Caenorhabditis elegans: one gene and its partner. The protein of the gene in region 1 interacts with the protein of each later gene in a pairwise test. Each region holds a gene or a part of one and is shown on either strand. Other genes may lie near its edges.

What was found.
Region 2: the proteins of pbs-6 (region 1) and cyk-3 interact in a two-hybrid assay, tested with the Caenorhabditis elegans proteins (one large-scale study listed by BioGRID).

The regions. Positions count from the first base shown.
Region 1 is NC_003281.10:8,242,589-8,245,825, forward strand, and holds pbs-6 (Proteasome subunit beta type-1), read right to left. Parts: upstream 1,505-3,237; coding exon 1,239-1,504; intron 1,194-1,238; coding exon 800-1,193; intron 752-799; coding exon 635-751; 3' UTR 534-634; downstream 1-533. Other genes in the region: Putative zinc finger protein C02F5.12, read right to left, coding at 198-281; cids-1 (CID domain-containing protein 1), read left to right, coding at 1,857-1,994, 2,038-2,171, 2,214-2,397, 2,445-2,689, 2,742-2,889, 2,938-3,036. UniProt on the Caenorhabditis elegans protein: Non-catalytic component of the proteasome, a multicatalytic proteinase complex which is characterized by its ability to cleave peptides with Arg, Phe, Tyr, Leu, and Glu adjacent to the leaving group at neutral or slightly basic pH.
Region 2 is NC_003281.10:6,018,253-6,025,210, reverse strand, and holds cyk-3 (Ubiquitin carboxyl-terminal hydrolase cyk-3), read right to left. Parts: upstream 5,053-6,958; 5' UTR 5,000-5,052; coding exon 4,927-4,999; intron 4,880-4,926; coding exon 4,809-4,879; intron 4,769-4,808; coding exon 4,615-4,768; intron 4,567-4,614; coding exon 4,450-4,566; intron 4,401-4,449; coding exon 4,164-4,400; intron 4,118-4,163; coding exon 3,853-4,117; intron 3,807-3,852; coding exon 3,644-3,806; intron 3,598-3,643; coding exon 2,994-3,597; intron 2,879-2,993; coding exon 2,628-2,878; intron 2,581-2,627; coding exon 2,178-2,580; intron 2,134-2,177; coding exon 1,250-2,133; intron 1,203-1,249; coding exon 1,053-1,202; intron 1,004-1,052; coding exon 911-1,003; intron 864-910; coding exon 792-863; 3' UTR 552-791; downstream 1-551. Other genes in the region: tbx-7 (Putative T-box protein 7), read left to right, coding at 1-121; npp-10 (Nuclear pore complex protein Nup98), read left to right, coding at 5,663-5,876, 5,925-6,125, 6,174-6,629, 6,676-6,902, 6,948-6,958. UniProt on the Caenorhabditis elegans protein: Ubiquitin-protein hydrolase which cleaves ubiquitin from ubiquitinated proteins. Plays a role in embryo osmoregulation.

The DNA of each region.
Region 1 (3,237 bases):
AGAGTTGTTTCCTACAGTAATATCATTCCAAAATTACAATTTTATAAAATACAGTATTTATGATTTTTGATCGACCATTACATAAAGAATAACCTGTCATATTATTTTTATTGCCAAAATAATTATTACTCAAGTTTTTCTAATCTCGGGAATATTTATATAATTAGAAGCTAAATGTTGCCAAAAGCTTGACCTACCAAAATAGATTGCAAATCGAGTCCTCGCATTTTGAGAACTTCCAAAGTTTGATTGTAGATGTTAACTTGAATATAAGTTGACATTTTTCAGTAAATACCAACTTGTCGAGTTGCAAAGCAGGAATGAATCAATGACACAGCTGGGCAGACCACAAAGTAAGAGACTCGAAACGCAGACGGTTCTAAGCAGCGCCGACTCACTCCTTCTTTTGCATTATATCTTGTGTCTCACTCGTGCGTTCTTGCCCTGTGTGTTTTCGCTCTCTGCATTTTTCTCTCTATTTTGTAGTTTGCGTTGGACGCCGAAATGTAGTCATGTTGTAGACTACAACATATAAGTGGAGGAATATTTATCAGATTACCGGGATGGTAAAACAATTTCAGAGGGGAAGAGGATACGAATAAGTTAAAATAAAATGAGATAGATACTGCAATAATTAATCCTCACGAAGTGGCAGGAACTTTACGACGACTGGCTTTCCGGCTTCAGCGATGACCAAGTGAATTTTGTCTCCAGTAGAGATTTCACGCTCAGCAGCACCACGGAACGAATCCTAGAAAAAATAAATGAATTAGGTTAAAATTACGAAATTCAATTATACCTTCATCAATGAGATGGCTCTGTCCAATGTGAGTTCCGGACGCTCATATCCTTCAGAGAGCGTAACGTGCCCGATTTGACAATCCAAGAATGGAATGATCATTGGTTCAGCGGCTCCACTGGCTGAGTATCCAAGACGCTCGATACATCCGATTGGGTCGTAACTGAACACGGCCCCTTTTCCGTGCTCGTCAATTCCGGCAAGAATAGCTCCAGTGTAGTATGGGAAGAACCGACGGTAATAGAGGTTGCGGGAGAGAAGTTCTGCGCAAAGATCCACAGACATGTCAGAGCGATAATCGAAGCGGTACTTGTGGAGACGAGATTGGAGAACTTTCTTCAATTGGAGGACATCTCCATAGAATCCAGAGGTGGTGAGGATGATGTTATCATTCCTGAATTAAGAATTATTATTAAAACAAAGACAAATACTGGCTTACAAAATTTGAATCTTCTCTGCGTCACGTGTAAGAATGTTGATGTCGTTTTGGGTCATTCTAGTATCACTTGCCACGATGGCAAAGTTCTCCCCAGAAATGGCACAGGTTGATCCTCCCTCCATTGAATACGGGTTCCAGCGTTGACGCTCAATTTGTCTGGAACTCATCCACTCTGGATGAGCTGCAACTTCCTTCATTGCCTGCTTGAACATTGCCATTTCATTGGTGGCGTTGGCGACAGCCGTGATTCCAGTGAAGCTTGTCATCTGAAAAAGGCGTATACTTATTTAGTTGAAACAATATAAATATTCAATATGACAAAATTCAATTAATACAGAAAACAAATGCTCGAAATTTGAGAATTCAACATAACAGGAAATGCTGACAATGAGAGACATCGTCATTTACAATGTTTAGTCCGCAGTTTTCTGCGCGTTCAAATGCACATCGCACATCGAACTATACGACACTTTGCTGAAATTTATTGAAACGCGTTTTCCTCTCTTTTTTGAATGAAAATTCATTTTTCCAAGGTATTTTTGAGGACAATTCATCGCTTTATCTACATTTCTGATTAAAATTTTTGTGATTTCTTTTTTTCAATAATTGATATTTCAGATGGCAGATTTCACAGAGCAAACTTTGCGACAGAAGTTAACAAATTTATCAAACCACCCTTCCTCAATTCAGACGACTTCTGCCTGGCTTTTGCAAAATCATAGCAATCGGGAATTGATCATTCGAGTTTGGCTAAAGGTATTTTATTCATATTGTATCATTTTTTAGTGTTGTATTTCAGACAGTAAAGAAAGAAACACACGGCTCAAAAATTGTAAATCTTCTTTATGTGGCGAATGATGTAAGCCAAAATGCGAGAAAGACTTGCCCACAATTCAAGGACGAATTTTTTCCCGCAATAGAAAGTTCTTTCAGGTATTGGCATTTTCAAACGTCTAATCTCAAAATTAATTTCAGGCATGCAATCGAGTTGAAAAATGCAAAAGAAGTGGAACATGCAATTGGTAAACTGATCAATGTATGGAAAGATCGTCAGATATTCACTCCATCACAATGCAAACGGCTTCATGAAGTTCATCAACAAGTTAAGCTATCTGGAAGCTTCCCAACACCCGCAGTTGCGAACAAGGAACATGGAAAGGTGTGTGAATTTAATAAATTCCAAAAGAATGCCAAAATGAGCTTAAGGTCGCTCAACCTAGTCAGTTCGTCGTTGAAGAAGCGAAAAAGAATGCACAAGATGTTTTGCTCAGTTTGAAGCGCCTTCAAAACCCGCCGAGCACGGAAAGAGAAATTCGCACAGAACTTTCAAAATATCCGGATAATATTTCGTGCCCAGAAAAGTTGCAGTCAGTTCGAAGTTCGCAAGAAGCACAGTCTCTGTTGGTCCAAAATGAAGAAGCTCTTCCGATGCTGGAGGAATATGTTAAAAGGTTTGATTGAAACTTTTGTGAATTGATTTTGTACATTAACTTATGCTTTCAGGCTGAAAAACGAGACAAATGAACGCGAAACTCTCGAATCGAACTTGAATATGCTTATAGAAAATGTTAGAATGAGCATTGAACATCACGAGAAATTGTGCAGAGAAGTTAAGCGTAGAGAAGATCGAATCAAGGCAGATTTGTTAGAGGTTTGAAAACTAGAAAATCAGTTTTTGCAGACTTGAATTGAATTTCAGGTTGAAAAAACATTCGAATCGTTGCCAGATTTGGCTGCTGAGATGCCAAATGCACCATTGCCAACACTTGAAGCTTTGTTCGAGAAGAGGAAAAAATAAGTATCATACTACGTCATAATTATAACTTTACGATCTCAGTAGCTTTTACTGTACCCCCATTGTTGTATAATTTTTGTTCACTTTGATCTTTTACAATCGTGATCACCATTACCACATAAGTGCTTTATACGTTTTTCTTCTGAACCACCTTAAATGAATTTATTTTTTCTAAAATTCAAGTTAGTTCTATTATCTGAAAAC
Region 2 (6,958 bases), 2.2 Mb from region 1:
GATTTCTCAGTGGCAGGAAGCACTTTTATCAACAATAGTTCAAATTCCTATCACTAATCAAAAATCTTCTTCGGAGAGAAAAAGTGGATTTGGAGTTGTTGATTTGTTAGGAAGTTCTTGAAATTTTGCTTTTATTTATTCTATTGATCTCAATTCCTATAATTTTCTGTTTTTTTCTAATATTTCTGTGTATTAACGGGTGATAACCACTCAGAATTTCCAATGTTTCAAGCAATACATTTTTTAATGCAAAATTACGATTCTTTCTACAGGATCCACACAATTAAACGATTTCTTATTTGTTAAAATCCAGACACTACAGAGTCAACTACAGTAACCCAAAAGCTTCAGATTAAAGTTTTCAGTGCAGTTTTTATAATCGAAAGTTTAGCATCTTGCAATTTTTTTCTTGCAACGATTTTTTTTCGAAGTTTCCGTGAATCGACTGGCAAATTAAATCACACCCAAACTATTGCGCCACCTTTTCTCTGGAATTGAGAAAAAGACCGAAATTTCTGAAGATATAACGAAGAAGGGAGAAGTACATAACACACAACAATTAAAAAAAGTTCATCCGGTAGTAGAAAGAAGTGAAGCATTGGAAAATTATGGAAACTGTACGGGAAAAGGTGACTAGCACATAAATTGAAATAAATAAATATTTACAGTAAACATTTGAAGAATAACAACCAGAAAGCGAATAGAATCAAGCGATATTTGTCATTAGAATTCTTAGATAGATGGCCAGGTAGTTTGAGCTTAAAGTTTTGTAGCAAATGGAGATTTATTTATTATTTGACATCTTTTCTCTCGTAGAACAGAAGATATGCGCCTTGTTTGTCAACTTCTTCTTCAGATACTTCCTGAAATTTTTTCCACTAATTGATTATAATAAAAACCTTGAACTTACTCGAACCGAACAGTCATTCAACAGAAGCCATTTGTCCTCATTGCTCTTTGCATAGGCTATGAAATGTCCACAGGATAGTTGTCCATAGTGATTCTTAAAACATAAATTTTTGAAGAAATTTAAGTTTGTATAAGTTTCTTACAGCGAGTGCGATGCATTCATATGTATTTCCGTCGGGCTTGTCAACAAATGGAGCTGGATCGAAGTGCTTCAACGGGAAATTCACCGTTCTTTTGCACTTTCCCATTCGACCTTGTTCGCGGAGAAATTCGAACCGTTTGAGATGAATTATCTGAAATTTTAATAATTTTAAATAAAAATTGCGCCATAGCCACTCACCAAGTACTTCGGAAGCTTCCAAATAGTCATCACTTTGTCTCTCATCGTCTTCTTCTCACAACGGTCACATTGAATTGCTGCGTCAAGTGTCTCAGGGCATGAGAACTTCTCAATGCAGTGCTCCAATGAGCTTGGAGCAAAGTGCCTTGACCAAGTTTCGGCAACTGAAGGATCATCTTCACATGCTTGCTCCTGCGAGTGATTGTATCGAAGGTAGAGAGCGATTGGAAGCCAATCCACTGCAATCGGACAGTTGGCAGGAATGAATACTTTGCTCTCATCTGGACGGATTGGACATCCTCTGCAGAATCGGAGAGCCGGGCATTGCCCACACCATTCATAATTCGGATCAACCAAACATAAAGTGAATGGATATCCTGAATTCTCATCTTCACATGGATCATGAGCTCTACTCGAGGAGGAATTCACAGAGTGTTCCATAAATCGATGCATTTGATACATTACATCTTCGTATAATTTCTTTCCAGTTACTTCTTCGTCCAATCCAACGATCAAAGGAAGTCCAAAACGAGATACTATGAATCCGGCAGTTGAACCAAGAATGTAAGGTTCATGGTTATACTGAAGCTTCCTATGCATCGCAACTCGCCACTGATCTTCACCTGTACTTTCTGGTAGCTCTAAAGCGTAAAGTCTTGCTCCAGAAGGGAATGAACTCAGCGGCAGCTCATCGCGTAAGTTTGAACTTCGATGATTTGGGGATCGGCTCATAAGCGTTCCTTTACTGGACATACACTGAATCGTTAGATGTGACATCGAGATTCCACTTGATACGGCAACCACTTCCCGGAGATTTCCAACCTTCGAGTCACGTGACAATCGGAAACCATAGCGACGCGGGATTCGCCCGTCTCTATGTACAACTGAAATTTCCATATTTTGGTGAACCAAATTGTGTTATTCTTACCAATAACTTGATACAAATCAACATCTTCAAATCCAATTGGCAACGACAACGATGTGAATGGCTCGAAGACACTCGAGCTCGATTGACAAGTTCGGCAAATTAGGCGGGAACGGAGTTGGCCAGTGAAGAGCTGTGTAACGAGTGACTCATTTTGTTTTTCGTACTCCGTCCATGATCTTTCAGCTTTTTCTTCATCAGCTTCTTCTTTATCAGCTTCTTTCTTTTTGCTTGAATCCGACAATTTATTTGAATCGGTTCCTTCAGATTCTTCGGGAGATGGATGAAGACTTTTGTTAGATTCATACATTGAAGTGTGAAGCTGATCCAGCAAGAATGCTACAAATTCTTGACAATCATGCTGCTCACTACATTCAAACATATCCGAGCTCAATCGAATAGCATCCTATAAATTTGAATAATTCATTTTCAACTTATAATAACAAAACTCACATTAAAATCATTCGGAGCAATATTTTTCTTCTTCGCTGCCCACATTTCTCTGAGCAGTTTCGCATACTCAATTGTCGTCTCTGCCGCATCTCCTCGCCTCAAGTTCCCTCTTTTGATAGCATCCAAATTATCCTCATCCAAAAAATATTGAGTGAGTGGGGAAACTCTCGCAAGACACTGGATTCCGGCGTTACGGTAACAGAAGTTACCGTAGTTAACAAGACCAACTGCTCCTGGGCGACCTGAAGAATCTTATGGGAATTGATTGACAATGAGAGCTTTTTGATAATTGCGATTTTTTTGTTTTTTGAGAAAAAAAACATAAACTATTTATGTGCTTTTAATAAAGTCGAATAAAAGATTTACCTGACAATTGTGCATTCGAGGATAAAGTAGAAGCAGCAGTGATTTGTTTCCCGGAAAGAGATGCTCGTAATTCTTCTGGCCACACTCCTGTTCCTCTTTCTCGTACTTCCAGTAAAAGCTTCATTTTATTCACTTTTTTCGTTTTCCCTAGTGACGAGTATAATTGATGTAGATTTTGTGCTCCATCGTCCAAAAGTACATTTCCTTCTTCATTCTCCTTCACAACTTGCCAAAGCCTTGCGTCTCCATCTCCGAGTCGAAGTTCTGTCTTGCACAGCGCGAGAAGCTCATCCACAGTCATACTTCGTGATACTTGAGCACACGCCCAGGATGTCAAGGATCTTGGAGTGTTTTCTGTACCATCCTGGCTCTTCTTACGATCATGGCCCAGAAGGAGAATTTCGAGTGGATACAGTTCAAGAGCGGGCTTGTTGTCTTCAAAGAATTCACCATCCAGATACTTTCTTGTGAATTGTGAATCTACTGTCAGTGCACATCCGTGCCATCGGAGCCATGCTCTCCAAAGTGGAACAGGCACTCGGATGTAGTCAGATGGAATAAGATCGGGTTTCAGACGAGCTGATTCAGCTGAAATGCAAGCAACCTGAAAATTAATTAATTCTTTACTTTTCCGGACTAGAAAGTCAAACCTTGCTGGTCCAGCTATCTTCTCTTGTTCCCTTGATACCAGAATTATCGATTGGATTCGGATTTTTATCTGCTTCCAGGAAGGATCTGAGCTCAGCATGCCATCCTGAAGCTACAATGTTCCACTCGGAAAGTGGAAGCTCAGAGGCACGTTTTTCAAATTCGCTGAAATTCAAAGTTATTTAAACTGAGAATTGAAAGCTACACTAACTTCACAATTTGTAATTCCATTTTCCGTGACTCTGGTCTCAATCCGAGACAAATGTGTCCGATTTGAAGAGCCATAGAATAATATTCATTGACATATTTTTCGTTTTCCTGTGCCCATATTCCAAAATCAACGAGAGCAGATTTCCCATTCGATGATTTTGTGACAGTCTGATGTTCTTCTGGGACATTAAGATCTTTGTACATGTTAGAAAGTTCTTCGTCAGACAGAAGTTTGTCACAGTCGACGTCCCAGATTCGTGCCAACTCTAAAACAACTTTTTAGTTTCTCAAAATAATTTCTTAAAAACTCACGAGAAATTCTCCCTGGTAGAGGTCCACGACAAAGAGCCGAAAGTGTACAAACGAGCTCTCTGAAGTCAATTTGACCATCTCGATTCTCATCGAAAACAGCGAATAATCTCTCAGCATAACTATCCGGGAAGCATCCACCCAATGCTTGTTTCCACTTCTCTTCATTCAGTTTGCAGACAGCTCGATCACTGATCGTGGCGAACACTTTCTCTAACTCGATAACCTCGTTCACGGATACTGAAAAATGGTTTTTGAAATACGGAAATCAAGATAATTTAAATCTTACAATGCGTCACATAAGACATCACTTCGTAAAATGAGATATAGGAATCATTGAGCGGAATCGTAAGCTTAGGAGGACTCAATCCCCATGACGCGAACTCGTGATATTCTTCGATAAACCCTGAAAATAAATAATTTAATATTATTTCTGAAATGTTTCTTGACTGACTCGATTGTACTTCTTCTACTCTACACAATCCAACAAGAGATGAAAGCAAATTGTCAAAGGAAATGGTTTCAGCGCCATGAGAGAAGAAGCTGAACAGCAGGCGTCGTTTTTCTTCTGGTATCTGCGCGCCTCCGAGAACATGATAGCAGAATTCCTTAAATGGTGAAGTTAAAAAAATAATTAAAAACAGTTACGTCATAATTAATGCATCCATTTTTGAAGCGTTGGAAAGCTTGGCGAATTCGTCGATACTCCTCGTCCGATACTAAAAATTTGAGTTTATGTTTGTTTTGTAACATCCCTGAAACTCACTATAAGTTTTAGCATCTTCCGCACTGATAATCGGTGCGATAGCGTTCGAACGTCCAGTTAACGTGTTACCCATTTCGGATTATGGCATTTGAGCATCTGAACCAGATTTTCTTGCCGAATCTGAAAGAAAAAATGTAAAAATCAATTTATTTGAAAAGAAAAGCATTTGTAAAAGTTTTTCAGTGGAGACCGACTTTAGAACGATTATGGAAAACAGTTTATTCCAATAAACCCCACGAAAAAACACGAATTGCGGGAAAAAATAAAAGACTTGTCGAGAACTGTCAAAAACCCTCGCGCAGTGAGACAGTGTGTGAACTTAAGAGACGCAGGGTGTATAATGCAAACTCGCTCTGTTGCGATTTCAGAATCACTTCGAAAAAATTTTTGCATTCGAAATCATTTCGCTCATTTTTTCATCTCGAGTTTGGTTGTAGAAGTTGTTCTCCCATTTTTTGTGTTATTCTTGCACATTTTCAGTCATAAATATGTACCTGTAACCTGATCAATCAATCAATGTCCGTCTAGTCGCATTAGCGTGCAATTTGAGTGTAGAGTAATTCCGATTTGGAAATCCTAAAGTACATTTTCAAGTAAATGCTATCTTTTTGGTTGTATGAAAACTTGTGACAGCTCTTAGCAGAATGTTCATGACAACCGCCTTTCATTCACTGCAAATTATTACTTGCTCATCGCTTCATCTATAACCGTCTCATCAATTGCAAGTTTCAGCTAAATGTTCGGCCAGAACAAATCATTCGGCTCATCGAGTTTTGGCGGTGGCAGCTCTGGGAGCGGTCTATTTGGACAAAACAACCAGAACAATCAAAACAAAGGATTGTTTGGTCAGCCAGCCAATAACAGTGGAACTACTGGCCTTTTCGGGGCGGCACAGAACAAGCCGGCAGGATCAATCTTCGGAGCGGCCAGCAACACTTCCAGCATATTCGGTATTTTGATCAATAATTGTATGCGTTTGATTTATTTTAATATTTTAGGAAGTCCGCAGCAGCCTCAGAACAACCAGAGTTCATTGTTCGGTGGAGGGCAGAACAATGCCAACAGAAGTATCTTTGGGTCAACTTCTTCAGCAGCTCCCGCAAGCAGTTCCCTATTCGGTAACAACGCTAACAATACTGGAACCAGCAGCATTTTTGGTTCCAATAATAATGCACCATCTGGTGGAGGTCTCTTTGGAGGTAAACAATTGATTTTCGATAAATAAATTAATCTTGTATCAGCTTCAGCATCGACCGTATCTGGAACCACTGTTAAGTTTGAGCCACCGATCAGTTCTGATACTATGATGAGAAATGGGACAACTCAGACAATTTCCACGAAGCACATGTGCATTTCTGCAATGTCGAAGTACGATGGAAAGAGTATTGAAGAGCTCCGAGTGGAGGATTACATTGCAAATAGAAAGGCTCCCGGAACAGGAACGACTTCCACTGGCGGTGGGCTTTTTGGAGCATCCAACACAACAAACCAAGCTGGAAGCAGTGGGCTTTTTGGATCAAGTAATGCTCAACAGAAGACTTCTCTGTTCGGGGGAGCTTCGACGTCATCTCCATTTGGTGGGAACACGAGCACAGCAAACACTGGAAGTTCATTGTTCGGTAACAACAACGCCAACACGTCTGCTGCAAGTGGATCTCTTTTCGGAGCTAAACCAGCGGGCTCGTCACTGTTCGGATCTACAGGTAAGAATAAATCTAGCATCAACACAATTTTTAACCTTAAACTTAGCTACAACAGGAGCTTCAACATTCGGTCAGACAACTGGATCGTCTCTTTTCGGCAATCAACAACCACAGACGAATACTGGTGGATCGTTGTTCGGGAATACACAGAATCAAAATCAATCTGGGTCCCTGTTCGGCAACACGGGGACGACTGGTACCGGACTCTTCGGCCAAGCTCAGCAACAACCACAGCAACAATCGAGTGGATTCAGTTTCGGAGGTGCCCCAGCGGTGAGTTAAGATATCCTAGAATTTCAATATTTTATTAATTTTCAGGCGACAAATGC